Linked DNA regions of Tamandua tetradactyla. The protein of the gene in region 1 interacts with the protein of each later gene in a pairwise test. Links are inferred from orthologs where the notes say so. Each region holds a gene or a part of one and is shown in the gene's direction. Other genes may lie near its edges. The genes, in order: OSGIN1 and CAPN3.

What was found.
Region 2: the proteins of OSGIN1 (region 1) and CAPN3 interact in binary tests that used the Homo sapiens proteins (3 or more experiments, as listed by UniProt). The two-hybrid records come from large-scale screens. The link is inferred for Tamandua tetradactyla from reciprocal best matches to the Homo sapiens genes OSGIN1 and CAPN3.

Annotation. Positions count from the first base shown.
Region 1 is NC_135342.1:78,629,837-78,638,720, forward strand, and holds the start of OSGIN1 (oxidative stress-induced growth inhibitor 1), read left to right. Parts: upstream 1-5,518; 5' UTR 5,519-5,638; intron 5,639-8,884. UniProt on the Homo sapiens protein: Monooxygenase catalytic activity. Involved in regulation of cytokinesis; promotes RHOA activity, probably acting locally at the midbody in late cytokinesis.
Region 2 is NC_135340.1:56,184,984-56,193,372, forward strand, and holds the start of CAPN3 (calpain-3), read left to right. Parts: upstream 1-4,768; 5' UTR 4,769-5,099; coding exon 5,100-5,408; intron 5,409-8,389. UniProt on the Homo sapiens protein: Calcium-regulated non-lysosomal thiol-protease. Proteolytically cleaves CTBP1 at 'His-409'. Mediates, with UTP25, the proteasome-independent degradation of p53/TP53.

The DNA of each region.
Region 1 (8,884 bases):
GGACCCCCACCTCTTCACACCTCCAGCTGCCACCTGCACACCTACGGCAGAGGGGCCGTGTGTCCCTGTTTGCCTGGGACGGTCCCAGCTTGTGGTCCTCAGAGCTTCCCCACACTCTAGGTGTCCCAGCATGGTCCCCGCCGATGCCGCCCACAGACCCCTCCAGGCTCGTACGTCCACCCTGACATCTCCTGGGCTCACTCCCCACAGTAGCTTGGGGTCAGCACAGCCCACAGCCCACAGAGGGAGCTGTTCTTCCCTCCAAACCCAGTCCTCCTCCAGTTGCCCTTCCTAGTGGGTCCACCTCCCCCATCTGCTGGGTCCCCAGAAGCCACAGTGCCCGCTGCCCTCTGCCCCTAGCTGACCACTTTCCATTCCCACTGCCCTCTCCATAGCTCAGGCCACACTCTCCCACCTGTTCTTCAGCAAACAACCTCCCCTCCAACCCGTCCAGATCAGATTCATATTCCCTCCCTCGCTCACTTGCTCACTCTTCCTCCCTCTCATGCACGTGCCACCTTTAACCCACAGACTGAGAAGAGACTTCCCCACGTGACCTACCAAGCTGCCTTCCTTCAGCTTCTGGGACCCACTAGGCTCCCTCCTTCTGCCTGCATGTGCTGTTCCCTCCGCCTGAAATGCTGTTCCCTCCCCTCTTCCTGAATAACACCTCTTCACCCTCCAAACTTCATCAGCTGACCCCCCTCCAGGAGCTTTCACTGGCCTCCCGTGATTTGCTCTCCTGGCTCTGGGTGCCTCTTTTTCTAGGAGCTTCTCGGTGAGACATTTTACCTTCTAGGCTCTCCCTAGACTGGATGCTCCCTGAGAGCAGAGCTCAGGCTTGGTTTTCTCAACCCTTGTGGCACAGCGCTCAGCACACTCCTGGCACAGGTAGTTGCAGGGTCACCCAGGCACCAGGGTCTCCTCCAGTCCAGGCATAGCCAGGGGCCTCTGGTCTTTGGACCATGCCCTAGATGCCCCTCATTCAAGGCTTGGAGCCCCAAAAGGCTGCCTCTTCCTGGCCCTTGGCCCTGCCTGTTCCCCGTGGAGCCCTGCCCCTCCAGGGGTGCCGTTTGGGAGCAGAGCCAGCCCCCCCACTGAGCCACACAGGATGGCTTTTCCCCCAGTTCCGGTTCCTTCCTAGGAATCGACCACAACCGCCACCTGGTTAGTGTGGTTCCGTGTCAGGTGCTCCCAGCCTTGAGGTGCGTGAGGAAGGACCACAGCAGCCTGCACGGGACGGGACAGACGGACACACCAGGACAAGAGCTGGCAGGACTAGGTGTGGACCCCACACCTCCTAAGAGCCCCTTTAAAAGCAGAAAGGGAGTGGAAACGCACACCCGAGTCCCTCCCTGTAGTCCAGCGCCTGGCCTGAGCGCCTCACCTGCCTAATCTGCTGGCCCTTCCCTGGGGTGGCCACAATGGAGGGCAGGGTCCCAAGCCCCCTGTGAAGGTGACCCCCCGGCCCCCCGATTCAAGTCCTGGGGGTGCTAGTGGCAGTGGCTCCGCCCTCCTTGGCCTGCTGCACATCAGGTTCCCAGTGGACAAGGTGGCGCCTAAGGTGCTGGCTGGAGAGGGGCGCCTGTGGGGGGAGCAGGTTCGCGGTCATGCTGGGCGTTGTCACCCGGTGCCCACCAGGGGGCGGTATCCCCGCGCTTTCCAAGTGCCTCGACCTCCCCCGCTGGCATCAGCGTGTCCTGGCCGAGCCACACGGTCCTGGGCAAATGTCCCCGAGAGCCGCCCCTCGCCGGTCCCCGGGCCAGGCAAGGAGCCCAGTGGCACAGCCCGCAGGGCTGCGGGGCCACCTCCCAAGGCTGGTTGTTTGCCAACTGCCGGGGCCGCTGGCTTGTAGCAGTGGCGGTCCTGAGCGTGCAGCACTTGTGGTCGGAGCGCAGAGACGGGCGGTGTAGACATCACCAAGCCGAGGCATCCGGCTCCAGTGCCGTTGTTCGTCTCCTACCCCCCGGCCCGCGCTCTCGGCTCCCGCCACCAGGAGCTCCTAGTCAGCGTCAGGGCCTGAAAGGACGGGCTGAGCCTAGCAGACGTCCTCGCTGAGGACTCAGAGTCCCCCAGGCTTCTGAATGAAGGAGACTTCAGAAAGAGTAACTCGGCCACTTTGATTAAATGAGGTTATTGTTTTGTGCAAACATCTCACACACGGGGAAGCAGTCTGTGAAGGTGTCTGTCTCCCGACACACCAAACAGCTTTCCCCTCGGGCCTCTCTAAGGCCGGGTCCTTCCGAGGGGCTGGGACAGAGAGCAGGACGGGCAGGAGAGGCTGCGGCGCTGTGGCCGCGTGGGGACCGCCCGGCTTGGCGCTGAGGGGTGGAGGTCGGCTGGGTTGCGGCCAGACGCAGCTCTGCGCCCCTTCCACAGCCCCACGGGCACTTGGTAAATTTTCTTTCAAAAATCTCATTTGCACTCATTTTTCAAACGCACTAAAAGCACCCTCCACCCAAATACAACGTAGCAAAGAAGAGCGCCTTGGCGCCCACAACCCGCTTGCGTCGGAACTCCCCCGCTGCCCCGCGAGGGCGCCCATGCGGGGAGATGTGCTGGGCGCCTCGGTCACTTGCAGCTTTCTGTCCATGCAGAGCAGAGTGTGCCCTCAGGCCCGTGCACCGGGGGAGACGCGGGCGCAGGCAGCTGGCTTGAGTCAGCGCTGGTCCCCCGGCCCTGGCTTCACCCCTTTTCATCATCCTCAAAACAGCCTCGTGGCCAAAAGCTAAGGTTTTCACCCAAGACTCTGGGCCGGTGTAGCTCCACCCTGCAGGGAAGCAGCTGGTGGCGAAAGTGCTTCCAAGAGGCGTGCAAGGAATTAAACATAGTGGCAGTCCCCGGACACACTTAGACTCAGGCCAGGCTGTAGGGGTGCTGCCAGGGGCCCACACTGTAGAGGGCGCTGCATCTTGCCAACACATGCCCCAAGTTAATCCATTAACAGACAGGCGGGCATCTCTGCCACCTGGAACCCACCCTCAGTGCCAGCCCAGCACCCACCACCGCACAGCCTTATCCCCATGCCGCCGGAGCCCATGCTTCCCTCCCCCCCCGCCTGACACCCCTGAAGGCAGCTGCATCCAAGGACTGGGAAGGTGGGGGGTCAGCTGCTGCCGCCAGGGGCAGATGTTGCACGGAGCCCAGGGAGGGCTTGAGACGCTGATGTCAGAACTGGTGACAGCCACCTGTCGGGCGCAGGACACCAAGGGCTTCCCTCGGGTCACGGTACCCATCTAAGGGCGGGGTTCTGTGTGCCTGAGCTTCATCCCCCATGCAGGCGCCAGGGCCCTGCACACACCCGGCATCCTCAGTCATCTGTTCCACTGACATCACACCACAGCTGTGCACGCTGAGCAGAGGGCAGCTGGTCAGGCTGAAGGCGCCGGTGCGTTTCCCCAGCACCCAGCTGTGGGCCCTAATCCAGGCTTCATCACCACCAGCCGGCCACCCTCACTGAACTGGCAGTAAGTAAACGTCTCCATCTGAATTTACAAAACAAATGAAAGCCAAAGAAGAGCCATCTTTTGGTTGGTCTGCTTTTTTATTAATTGGCATTCCAAGTGAGATCTTTGTTTATTAAAATGGTTCTGTGGCTGCTGGGGAAAAAAATAAGGAAAATGTTGGACGTGACGAATTGAGGGTCCCTCTGCATGGCCATGGGGCCTGGGGCCTAGCAGCCCCCCACAGGCCCTTGGCCACTCTCCTTCTCTTGAGGAGGCCACTGCAGCAGCCACAAGGCTTCCGGATTCTGCCAGCCCAGAGCCGCTTCTAGAACCTTCTGTGGTCTAGCTTCTCCCACTGCCGCTCCTGCTGCTGGGGAGAGGTGGACACTTGCCCTTCCTAGGCCTGCAGGACCCGCCTTCCCTGGATGCACATGGCTTTGGAGCATCTCTGAGCTCACCCACCATCTCCTCGGATGCGTGCTCCCCTAAAATCACGGCACAAACTCACCCTGGGCTCGGAGGCCACGTGCTGGGGTCAGTTCAGGAAGACCTCCTGGGGGTACGGCCGGAGACGGATGCCCACTGCCTCAGGATGCACACAGAGAAGGCAGGCGCGCTTCCTCGGCAGCACAGCCAGCCCCTTGCGGATGGGCGCCTCTGAGAAACAAGGTCCCCAGGGCCTGGGGCCGTGTCTCGAGGGGGGTCCACACAGAGCACCCTGCCCGCTGGCCTCCCGGTCCTCCAGCCCGTGAAGGGCTCTCAGCAGACACGGCTCACCTCCACCTACCTCGGGTTTGTCTGTGGAGGAGCCTGGGCCCCAAAGGGGTGTCAGCACCGAGGAGGGGAACTCCCTGCCCTTGAAGTGGGGGGGACCCAGGATGGCAGTGCCCTGACCAGGTGTTGGGGGTGGGGGGTATCCCCGGAGGCCAAGGATGCAGTGGCAAAGGGTGGGAGGTAGAACCCAGACTCTCTCCATGCAAAGCCTCAAGGGCACTGGACATGTCAGCCTTGCCTCAGTTTCCCCCCTGCAACAGGAACTCCTAGTTCCCGCTCCCCCCACCTCCAGGGCACATTGTGGGCAGGTGACCTCCCAGGTGGGATTGTGTCTGAGCCATGGTTCAGGCATTTTAAATTTAAAACAATTTTAATGTTTTAACATTTTGATTGTGGTAACAGATATGCAACATAACATTTCCCATCTTAGCCACTCTTGGATGTGCAGCTCAATGGGGTTCATTACAATCACAGTGCTGTGCGCCCCCCATTGCCCACACTTTGCCATCCCCCAAGTAGAAACTCTCCCCCCTGCCACCCCCACCCCACCCCAGCCATCCCCCGGCCACCACCCCCAGCCACCTCTAATTTATGCTCCGTCTCTGTGAATCAGCACATTCTAGTTATTTCACAACTGGGAGCTCACACAATACTTGTCCTTTTGTGTCTGGCTTATTGCACACTACATTATGCTTTCAAGGTCCATCCGGGTTGTCGCATGTAACAGAACTTCCCTCCTCGCAGCTGAGTGAAACTCCAGTGTTCTCACTTTGTTTCTTCATCCATCTGCCATGACCTCGGGATGCTTCGACATTTCAGCCGTTGGGGACAATGCTGCTGCGAGCCCTGGTTCCCGAACAGCTGTCCCCTGGCACCGGGATGGCCGGGCCCTGTAGATAATTCAGGTGGTTCAGCTTCGGCGACCTGCCAGGGCCCCCCAGCCAGAGGGCAGCTGCTGCAAGTCTGTCTGTCTGCCTTTCTCCCTCCCCTCCCAGTTCACCCTTCTCCCTGCTGACTTCTGCACCCCTGTGCTCACCTGGCCCCCAACACCACCCTTCACCACAGGTGCAGACAAGCCCCTCCGAGGTGGGGTGTCTGCCCCCAGAGCCCTTCAGTGCCCACCTACAGGCACCACTCATGTGCTTGGCCAGGTGTGCCCCTTTCCGGATGTCCCTGGGGAGGTGGAGGCCAGCCTGGCAGGGCGGCAGAGGAAGGAGCCGGACAGAGCTCCTCTGAGGTGGCCCGGCCGCCAGGCAGGACTTTGTGATGCCACAAAAAGGCCAGCCTGGCCTCTTATCCCCACCTCCCCTGTGGTCACATCCAGGGGGGCCCCCAGGGGAGGGCCAGCTCCACTGCTGCCTGCTCTCCTCCCAGCCAATGCCTGCGATCCCCACTGCACACAGCCCACTCACCACCAGGTAAGAGGGCCGCCATGGGGGGGTAGACGTGCCCTGGGGGAGCCCTGGGGCCTGGTGGGGGTACCTGGAAGGGCTAGGTGCAGACCCCCGGCCCAGAGAGCAGGAGGCGCTCTGCAGGGGAGGGAACCAGGCCCCCTGTCCCGCCATCCCTGGGTGGAGTTCAGTGCCACCACTGCCTCACCGAGATCTCGGAAAAGTGCCCAGACCCCTGACCCTCAGTCTCCCCAGCAGTAAATGGTGCTAGCAGGGGTCCCCCATATACTGAAGCCCACCAGCCATGGTTGCTGCACCCAGAGCTGACCACCAGCTTCCCAGCCAGGCCCAGCCGTGCTGCCCAGCACCCCTCACTCCCCAGAACACAGCCCTTACCAGCCCCCATCCCCTCGCCACCATGGGCCAGGCCTGGGACATGGTGAGGAGTATCAAGGAGGGGGCACGGGGGCCTGGGGTGGGTTCTCCTTCTGGGGTCTCGTCCTTGGCATCAGGTCTCCCCGAGCAGCTCAGGCCATAGGCGCCGGGTGTCGGGGGTCAACCCCCCCAGGAAGGCTCTGGGCACCAGGTGTGCGCTGGCGGCCCACAGGATAAACTGCAGCCCCCCGCCCCCGCACTGGGCTCTGGCCTAGGGAGCTTCGGTTCTCGAAGGCACGAGCCCTCCCTGTCCAGCTCGTCCCATTCAAGGCACTGCCTGGTTCCTGCTCCCCGGTCCTGCCAAGGCAGGCAGGGCTGGGGTTTGAACCCAGGCCTCTGAGGATGGGTTCACTGCACATTAGAATCCTGGGGGCTCTGAACAAAGCCGAAACCCAGCTCCAATCATCAGACCCGATCAGAACCCCTGCACAGGGGCCGCACCAGCCCTGTCCCAGACCCATCAGCAGGGGACAGAAAGCTGGGCTTGGACAGTGGCCAAAGCACACGCCCCACACCTGCCATGTCACTGTGGGATATCTCCTGCACCCCAAGCCCCCGGTCCCCTCCCCAGCACTCAGGAGCTCACTGAGTCGCCCCAAGCCTCTCCCGTCCCCTGCCGCCTATCTGCGGGTCTGCAGTTTGGCAGGGTCAGCCCCACTCCCAGCCATGGGAGGTCAGTGCCTGCGACACACAGGGGCCCGAGGCCACAGCCGCTGCGCCCCTCTTGTGCGCCTTTCTGGCTGGCTGACATGGGGAAGGTCAGCGTGTCTCAGTTTCCCCATGTAAAGTGCCTGGGGCAGCAGCTACCTCGTGGGGATGCTGGGAGGACCCAACGAGTAAAGCGGGGAAGTGCTGAGCTCAGTAGGAGCAGGTTAAGGGGTGATCCCTCACCCCGGGTCTGCTAGCAGACGTCTTCCCACCTGCCCCTCTGCAGGCCAACGGCCCGAGCACGCTCGCTCGGGTTCACACCGGTGGCCGCTGGCCTGTGATGGGGAAGAGGAACTCACCTCCCAGACTGTCTGCTGCCCGTCCCCGGCTTAGAGGGAGCAGCCGCTGGCAGGTGCAGCCAGGTGGAGCAGGGCCGCACTTGCCTCTACCCCGAAGCCACCTTTGGCAAACAAAGGCAGAGGATGTGCTGCCAGAAAGGCTGATCGGTGCCCCGGCCAGGGCAGGCAGGGGCCAGGGCTCTCGTGCTCCCCTGGGCTGCCCTTCCCTGCACCCCATGCCTGGGTCTCCCTCCCGGGCCTCTCTAAATCCCAGGAGTGACGGAAGGGCTCACAACTGGGCTAGAACGGAGTTCACAGCCCTAACCTAAATAAAAACGCCTTTCCCTGGGCTGCAGTTGCCTGGCAAAGCCCTGGCAATAACCCATCACCGCAGGCAGTTGGGGACTTAGAACAGATCTTCTCCCCCAGTCTTGGAGGCAGAACCTGAAATGGAGGTGTCCTGTGCCTCCATAGCCTCTGAGAGAGGGTCCTGCTCAGCCACGTGCAGCTTCTGGGTGCCCCACCCTTCCCCACCCCAGTGTCTCTTGGCTTGTGGCTACGCCCCTCCCGTCTCTCTCCCATCTTCCCACAGCCTCCCCTCTACATCTCTGTCTTCTGTTCCTTAGTTGGACATCGGTCTCTGGATTTAGGGCCCACCTAGAGAATCCAGGACGACTTTGTCTGGAGGTCCTCAACTTAATTACATCTACAAAGACCCTTTCTCCAAATAAGGTCACGCCCGCAGGTTAGGATGCAGGGGGATGCATGCAACCCACTCCCCCTCCCTCCCTTCTCTGCAAGCCATGATGGTGTCTACGCATGGACATGGAAAATTAATTGGGCCTCTCCTCCCTGCGCCCCTCCACTCATTAGTAAAAGGGTGGGGAGAGGAGTGGATGCATAAACTTTGTAAGCTGTTAGAGATGTGAAGTCCTTTGAGAGCCCAGTCTGACCCCCTTGTTTTCAGGTGAGGGACCCAAAGCCCCAGCCGTTTGCTTCTGCGCCATTTCAGACCCTTCTGCTTCTCTCCCCGACGCCACCATCGCCTCGCCCCCGACCTCAACAGCCTCTGCCTGCCCTCGCTGCCTCCCACTTTGCCCTCTCCTTCTGCCCCAGTGGCCTTTCTGGAACCCTGCCTGGCCCATCTCCATCCTGCTGAACCCTTCACAGGTTCCAGCACCCTCGGGCAACATCAGCTTCTGCCATGGGGCCAGCCTCTTCCTCTCCAGCCTCCCTCTCCCTCCCCACCGGCGAGGCGGCCTGAGAACCACCTGCCGAGCCACTTCCAGGATTTGTGACTGGGCCTAGAAGCATTCCCCCTGCCCCCAGCCCTGCCACCTACAGCCTGTTTTGGCTCGGCTCTGGTCACTCTTGCAGAGAATCTCTGCGACCCTCCTAGCCACTCTCTCAGCTTCCCCGTGCCTGGCCACCAGCACTCGTGGGATTTGCGGCTGTCCTCTGTGGGTGTGTCCCCCCTCCCCTGATCGGTGAGCTGTGCCGGGACGGCCCCTGGATGTGCTTCCCCTGTGCTCTCGGGCAGATGGAATGTGACCTGCCACCATCTCGTGGCCAGGAAGGCACCCAGCTCCGGCCCCCTGACTCCCAATCCAGTGCTCTCCTTGGTCTCAGCCAGAGAGAAAGCCAAGTGGCAGCTCCTGGCGATCCAGGGCTTGGAAGGTGCCTGCTGGAGTGACCCTTCTGACGTTGTCTCCTGGGACAGGAAGGTCAGTCCCAGTGGGAGGTGCCAGGGGACCATGGTCATGCTTAAGGAATGCTGTAGGCCCTTTTACACCACACACACTTACTGAGCAGCTACTGTGTGCCAATCTCTGTTCTAGGCCCTTGGGGTACA
Region 2 (8,389 bases), on another chromosome or scaffold:
TATTTCTGGTGCTGCAGACCATTTCAGAATCTTCATCAGATTAGTTATTTTTCCCCAGAGAAATGCTAGGCCAAGCAAAGTTCTCTATTCAAGTTCCCTGCCCCAGAGAACACAAATACCATACTCCGAGCACTAGGCCATCAGCGCCCAACCCAATGTATCATACATATTGTGGCACCACCGTGTGTTGCTTCACCACAGAGGTTTTTTCTGAGCAGAAGACCTGAGGAGGGTGTTAACACTAAAAACTATGTTTTTATGACTAGCACTTAATTAGGACAAATAACCTGTAGAGACAAGGGAAGTCCTTATGCACATAAAAGGCCAGTTTTGTCACTTTCCTTATTCTCCCAGTTCCTAATGGAAGTGATCCCAGGATCTAAGTGCCAATATAACTGGATAGCAAGATATTCCTTGCCCAAGGAGGTTTGTTTCACTTAAGTTCAACCTATAGAACTAATTATGTTCTGGGGGTGTGGCTCACTTCAGAACCATAACTAAATGAACTCCAAGGTCATGATCCAATGACCAGAGCCAATCCCAGAGCCATTTCCCCCAAAGGCTCCCTAAAGCAGAAAACGGGCTGTTGCCATGAATTTGCCTTGAGGTTTTGCAGAGCCTTATAGCTTGGTTTGTTAAAGCCAGCTGTCAGACCTCTGTAGCTACAGGGAAGACTAAAATTCTGAATTTGGTCTGTGTGCAGAATCCATTCACTTTTCACATCTTTTTCAATAACTGGTTATAATGATAGGCAGCAGAAACACACTCAAAGCACACAAACATCTGGATCTGGAGCTTACTGGTTTAGCTGGTAATTAACCATCCTACCTAAAAGCTTTCTGGGTAATGGAATTCCTATGACAATAAAAAGGATCCACTCTGCCTCTAAGCACAATTCACAGGAGCACTCTAGACTAAAATAACTTCTCTAGGGGTAGAAAGCTATCAGCAGTCCACTAGAAATAGATTACCATATTAACCACAAAAAGTGGCAGCCATGTAGCTAGCATTCTAGGAGAAATAAGGAAGAGAAGACAGTGGCTCCTGAAATCAGACCTGCCTGTCTTATGATCAGCCTTGCTAAAGGCTGCCAGTACCATAGCAATGCCAACTAGAATTAGACAGCTGCATCTTGGCAGTTATTTCCAGCAGGGTGGGTGGTGTTAGATTCCTCTCCAATCAGAGGTAGGGAAAGGAGAGCATTAACTCTTTATATGCAAGGATTCAGAGATCTTTACGCATAATTCACATTAATGGAGTCTTGGTCATCCATTTATTTCTACGCTGGAAATCAGCAGATCTCGGGTCTAGTTTGAGTCTGAATGAACTGGCTCAGTGATCTTGGCCATTTCATTTAACCTGTCTGGGTCTTGATTTCCTCGTTTGTCAAATAAGAGAGAGACTCTTAAAATTCTATGAGTTTTCCATGATGTAACTGTAAAGGTAGAGCAGATATCTCAGAGTTCCTCTATTGTAAAATGGAATTAGTCAAATTTGTAGGTTGTCATACAGATTAAAAATATTCTTTGTGTATGGAAAGGAGAAAATAGTAACTTTATAGTGGAGAAACCTAGTAAACACCACCTTAACCAAGTGATCAATATTGACATCACCTGTAACAAAACATATCACTATCATGTACACCCATTTATGATTTGATGAGGATCTGTGATATTCTTCCCCCAAATCCATAACCTCAGTCCAATCATGAGAAAATAGCAGACAAACCCGAATTGAGAGAAGAGACCTACAAAATACCCAGCAAGCTCTCTCCAAAAGTGTCGAGGTCATGAGAGATAAGGCAACACTGTGGAACTGCCAGAGATTGGAGAAGACTAAGAAGACATGACAATTAAATGCAATGCAAAATCCTGGATTGGATCCTGTAACAGAAGAAGGACATTAGAGGGAAAACTGGACAAAGAAAAAGAATAAAGTCTTTGTGGTATAGTTAACAGTACTGTACCAATGTTATTTCTTAGTTTTGATGATTATACCATGGTTATATAAGGGATAAACATTAGGAGAAGCTGCGTGAAGGGTATACAGGAACCCTGTACTATCTTTGCAATGCTTTTGTGAGTCTAACTTGTTTTTAAATAAAAAGTTTTAAAATATTATGTGAAGTGGCTAACTCATGTACATGTTACAATTATAAACAAATACATTGCCCCAATAGTGTTGAATCAAAGAAATATTTATTGGTGGAAAAGATAAGGATATGGTGCTATTTGTTGGCCTTATTCGTACAACGGTAACTATTCCACCCACAGCTATTGCGTGTCCTTGGCTGAAATATGTTATTAAAACCACTTCTTTGAGGAGGCTTCTGAGAATTGAGATTTGCAGCTGTCTATTTGCTCATTATCTTTCCTTTGTTCCTGAGCTCAGATTGGATTTCTCACTAATAGCATGAGTTGCCCCAGCTGTGAAGCTCAATAAACCTTGAGCTTGGATCTGCGAATCTGAGAAGGGTTTTTATCCACAAATATTGATAAACCAAATTGAATAGCATCTTGTACTTTATGAGTTTGATATCTCCATCCTCTTAAAACAAGGGGCTCACCCATGTCAAACATTCATCTTGGTTACCGAACAGCTGGGGTTTAGACAGCAAACAAAAGAAATGTGTGGCCTAGAGATAATTCCTCCACTAGGGGTCAAATCAACCAAGAAATTCCATTGGCAAAGCAGTTAAAAAGTGTACGAAATGTCTCCTCACCTAGGGAAATTTCATTCAACAGATATCAACATATATTCATTCAGGGCCTTCTATATACTTAACCTTGAGGGTAAAACAAGTACCTAGTCTCCACCTTTACAGAATTTAAGGTCTTGGGGGCTAGTCTGGAGGTTTACTATACAAAAACAAAACGTAGGTCAGTGCTGTGATACAGAGCACTGAGCTGGAGACCAAAACTCATGAAGGTGGAAGAAGGAAAACCCACCTTTGCTGTCCATGCTATTGGTGAGTTTGAGGATGGAAGCCAGTCTTTGGAGATGTTTGTTTAGTGCAGGCCAGAATGTCGGCTTCTAGAGGAAACACCGTGTACTGTATGAGCCTGGGCCTGGTGCATCCATTGCTGGGTAGATGCTCATAGAGTGCATGCTGATGTGCATAAATGAGCGAATGTATCATTCAGTCCGATCTAATCCCGAGGTAATACTAAATCCAAGTCTTCTCTCATCATAGCAAGAACAACATTTATTGAGTGAAGACAATCCAGGTACTATTGTAAATGTTTTACAAAATTAGCCTGTTTAATCCTGGCTAAGAACTATTTTTCTCAGATTCCACTGTTTAGCTCATTTCTTCTTGACAGCTCTAAAAGAGATGAGATCAAAAAGAAGTATCATACAGACATGTCACCTAAAATTATAGAATCCAAGAGACCCTGTTCTTAGAAGGCCCAGGGAGTATTTGTTGATGATTAGCATTTTTATCCATTGCTGATAGGGTAATACAATGTAGAAATAGAATTTTATCTTTTTATTGAAAAAAAAAAGTTGGCCTGTTTCATCCTTATACCAATCCAGTAATAGAGTGACTATCTTTATGCCCATTTTATAGGTGAGAAAACAAAGACATAGGAAAAAAGGAAGAAGTAGCTCACCTAATGTTACACAGACACACAGACAGTAAGCAGCAGACCCAGACTTTGAAACTCAGCAGTCAGCCTCCAGAGGCTGCTCTCTGTTCTGCCTCTCCAAGACTACTAAATGTCCTTGGCTATTTCCTTAGAGGGACAGGAGTTTAGTCTGATGGTTCCTAAAAGCCCCAGATGTGGAGTCCCTCAAAGCTGTCACCCCAGGGATCATAAGCCTGATATTATTCCCTTTATCACTTATCACGTCCCACTTTCTCCTGTAGCCTCTAACCTTGATCTGGTGAGTCTGGTCACCCGGGAACAGGCATGGCTGCAATCAGAGACAAGCCTTCACTCAGCCAGACTTGGGATGTGGCCATGTCCTTACAGCACAGAGAACAGCTGCGTGTGTAGAAGCCAAGATAGAGGCCAGGCAGGCAATTCCCCTGGTGCTCTTTTCCAAGAACCCTGAAACCAACTTATAGTATGACACCTGGGGCTTGATGACCAATCTAAGTCAGTATCTAATTCCAGCTTCTGACTCAACACCTAGTGTCAGGCTTAAGTAATCAATATGTAAAATATAACCGGGTGCATTTTTTGGGAAGGATTTAGTCCCAGTCTTTATTTTGGGGGTGAAGGGATGCAAGGGGTAGCTAGGTCAAGTAGGTGGGCAAAAGGAAACTAAGGGTTTTTCTCAATCTAAGACTCTACCAAGTGGTATTTTCCACAAAACAGTACCTCTGAATGTTGATACCAGAACATTCTAGAAAAAAATAGCAAATCCAATACTAAGCAATATTCTGATATCCTGGAGCTTTACAGAGTAAAAGCGTGTTCTCAAAAATACCTAGACTGTTCCCCTGGAATTTACTATTTCACATTCACCCTTGCTAGTCAAAATTATTGTTTTCCATTAATTTGGCAGCCAATTATTTGATAGTCTGTAGAACCACCTATTCAATACCACATGAGCAGTTCTTTGCTAATTTTTGATGTTCAACTTAGTTACTCGGATATTTCCCCATTTCCTTACAACACCAGCATTTATTGGCAATACAAAAATGTCCCTGGCCAGATCCTTTTCTCTCAACCACATAGGCTAGTCTCATGCAAACCCTTCTCTTGCTTTCATACTCATGATCTTTCTTCATGTCTATTTTTAGTTTTCCTGGCTCAAGCTTCTTTGGGCCACTGAAACCCAACCCTCACTCTCTTGCTTTCCCTGAGGCATGCTTGCTGCTGGTAGGAGCCCCCCAGGTCAACATTGCTTCAGAAATCCTTCATTGCTCCTTCCTCAGGAGGAACTTAAGGCTTCAGGATCAAGGCATAGATTTTAAGATGGACATAAATTGGACGAACTTCTGATGGGTTTTCAACTTTGAATTGAATTGGACATTTTCTCTCAGATGACAGAATCACTCCAACTTCCCCTTTATAGTTGCTTCCTTTCCTTGGAGGTAACAGTATTTTGTTTTCTTTAAAAACCTGTTCCTTCCAAAGCTGCCTGCCATGCCGACTGTCATTAGTGCGAGTGTAGCCCCAAAGACAGGGGCTGAACCCAGGTCTCCAGGGCTGGTTCCCTACCCAGCCCAGGGCAAGAGCACTGAGGCCGGGGGTGGAAATGCAAATGGCATCTATTCAGCCATCATCAGCCGTAATTTTCCTATTATCGGAGTGAAAGAGAAGACCTTTGAGCAGCTCCACAAGAAATGTCTAGAAAAGAAGGTTCTTTATCTGGATCCTGAGTTCCCACCGGATGAGACTTCTCTCTTTTATAGCCAGAAGTTCCCCATCCAGTTCGTCTGGAAGAGACCTCCGGTGAGTAGCTTATTGGTTGCTGGTTGGGTTTTTTCCCCTCAGAGAAGACCTCCCACTCAGCACCTCCCAGCAGCCCAGCTATGACATGGGCACTGGGGGAAGAATCTTGGCTTGACCCTGCTGGCTTCTGTCCTCAAGTGTGAAGGGGGAGGAGAGGGAGAAGTCTTAGATATTATCAGATCACTGCAAAATCGGCTTTAAGAAGAAGGGAGCCAGGGCCTGATTCTCTTTCTCTCCCTCTCCCTGTTCATTTCTCTCTGTCTCGGTCTCTCTGTCACTCTGTCTCTCTCTCTCTCCCTTCTTTCTGGAATAATCTTGCTTTGTTTAAATTAGGAATTGGAACGATGGTTTAATTCATCCTATAAAAGTAAATATTCCTTTCCCAGAACAAACCCCAAACAGTCCAGCTCTACTCTTCCTTGCTTCAATCTCTTGCATCTTTATAAGATTCTTCGAATTTGGGGGGCTAAAGTCATGATGTGGTTCCTTAATTTGCTAGTAGCCATGTCATTCTAAAACACCTCACCTCATAAATGAAGAATAAAGGCACAACAAAGAGAAGTATATCCTGTGAGTATGTGCAAGAGTTTGGATTAAAACTCCTTCTCTTTTAGGTAGCTCCTCCAGCCTCTGGGTTTCAGTTACAGTGACCTGCCAGAAGGAAAATAATATGCCCCTGGCTGCCTTCTCTGATCATGCCTGCAGTGGGACTCTTCTTAATTCAAGAAGTATTTATTGAGATTTCCCCATGCCAGACTGGACAGTTGATTGGGGAGATAGCACTGAATAAGAAATACAAAAATCCCTGCTCTCGGGAAGCCTAGAGTCCTGAGAGGAAGAAAGGCATTGAACAGGAGTGATAACTAATTAGCAAAAACTTCCCTGAGCTATGTGATCCTACAGCGAAGAGAGCTAGCCTAGTCCCTTTCTGAAGAAATGTCGTGGCGCTGAAGCCCAGTGCTGTTCCTCAGCTGACTGCTGAGGTTCCAAGTCATGTTTTCATTAATCTGAGATGATATACACAACAACCCCCATCTCGTCCTGTGCGTTCCCCGGGGCTTCTTTCCTCTCCTGAAGTTATACGGTAAGGCCCATGACTGTCCTAAGAGCCCTCAGTTAGGGGAGAAAGCTGTAAAGAACTCCATTCCCTGACTCAGCCACTAACTTGCTGCCAGAGTACTCGGTCATGCCACAGCCCTGCTGAAATGTCTTCATTGATCTCCTGTGTCTTTCGCGGTAAGCCCAAACTCTGCTTTAGCTGATCTATAGGACCTTCTCTAGCTGGACCTTCTCCAGCTGTCCCTTACCTACCTGTCCAGTCCCATCTTTTCCCTCTTTCCCCCACACACTGACACAGCTGTGTTGACTATTCGACTGCTCTATTGTTCCAAGTTTTCTCACACCTCAAGGCCTTTGCCTATGGCATCCATGGTGCCATCTGTCCTTCCTGTTTTTATCTGATTCATTCTTCCTTCAAAATTCTGCTCAGGGGTCATCTCCTAAGTTCCTAACAAAGGGTATTTTTCAATACTGTTGCTTACTAATGCCATTCTTAATGACATTTTTGATAAGTTTTGAGTTTTATTATCTAGACTTGCAAATTATATTTTTAAAAAGGTTTTTAAAGTCGCCCAGTGGCAGAATACTCACCTGCCATGCCGGAGACCCGTGTTCAATTCCCAGTGCCTACCCATGCAAAAACAAAGCAAAAAAAAACAAAACAAAAAATGATTTGAGGTCTAGTATGCTCTAGACAGTTGATGGGTCCTGGGTAACAAAATTTATTCTGTCAGGGTCTGCATGAAATGAGGAGCACCAGACCTGATTGTGCCAAGTTTTTTCCACTACCTCCATCAACAACATAAAAATCCTGAATCACCCATGGGCCAAAATTTCACCCCAGGGAAATTATGTCTCTTGGTTCATTAGCATAAATTAGAGTATGGAATTTGAGAATGAACACTGGAGATGTGATCCAGCCCCTTCACTTTACAGGTGAGGTGACCCAGGTCCAGACAAAGCAAGTGACTTATATGTACAGTCTTCACCAATCCAAGTATTCAGAGACATCGTTTAGTCCCAACTGCTGCTGTGGCAGTCTGCAGAATCACAGACAGGACCCCTTCCTTACTCTCCTTTCTGTCAGGCCACCTTGGCCCAGTAACCCCCCATACCCCCACACCCCTAACCACACATCCACATTCACCAGTGTTCAAACCTACATGTCCTGTCCCTCCCACCCAACAGTCACCACCATTTTCACTTCTGAGCAAAGGGGAGTAAGACAGAGCAGTGTCCCAACACACTGAGAAAAAAATGCCCTGAGCAGTAATCATTCCCTCTGTAACTCTAATATGACTCCCTGCTCTGAATACTGCCATGTCTGCTGAATGAATACACCATGGGCGTCGGTTTTGGTAGAATTGGCTTTAGTCACCTGGAAGCAGTCAGTTATAGTGGTTAAGAGTTTGGGCTCAGAAAAGAGGCTCCTGGTGTTCACATCTCATTTCCACCACTTGTCAGCTGTGTGACCTTGGGGAAGTCGTTACCTCTTAGACCCTCAGTTTCTTCATCCTCCAATGGAGATGAAAACAGAACCTATCTCAGAAGGCTATTGTGACAATTGATCTTCTATTTGAGGTGCTTACCACACTGTGCAGAGCATTTATTAAGAGATCAAAAAAATTAACCATAATGATCATAAGGTATATATGTACTATATGCCCATTATCAGCCAGATGTTTTACTAGGTTTCTTCTCTTTTAGTAAGTCCCCACTACAACCCTGAAAAGCAGAAATGTTCTTCCCCATTTTATGGAAGAGAAAACTGAGGCCCAAAGTAGTAAGCAAAGGGGTCATAATTTAAACCCAGTTTTCCTTCAGTCAAAAGTGATGATGTGTCCACTATGTTGTGGTACCTCCAAGATACCTTGCCTTATAATTTAGTTATCTGCATGGTCCAGGTTGTGTGGGTCTGATCA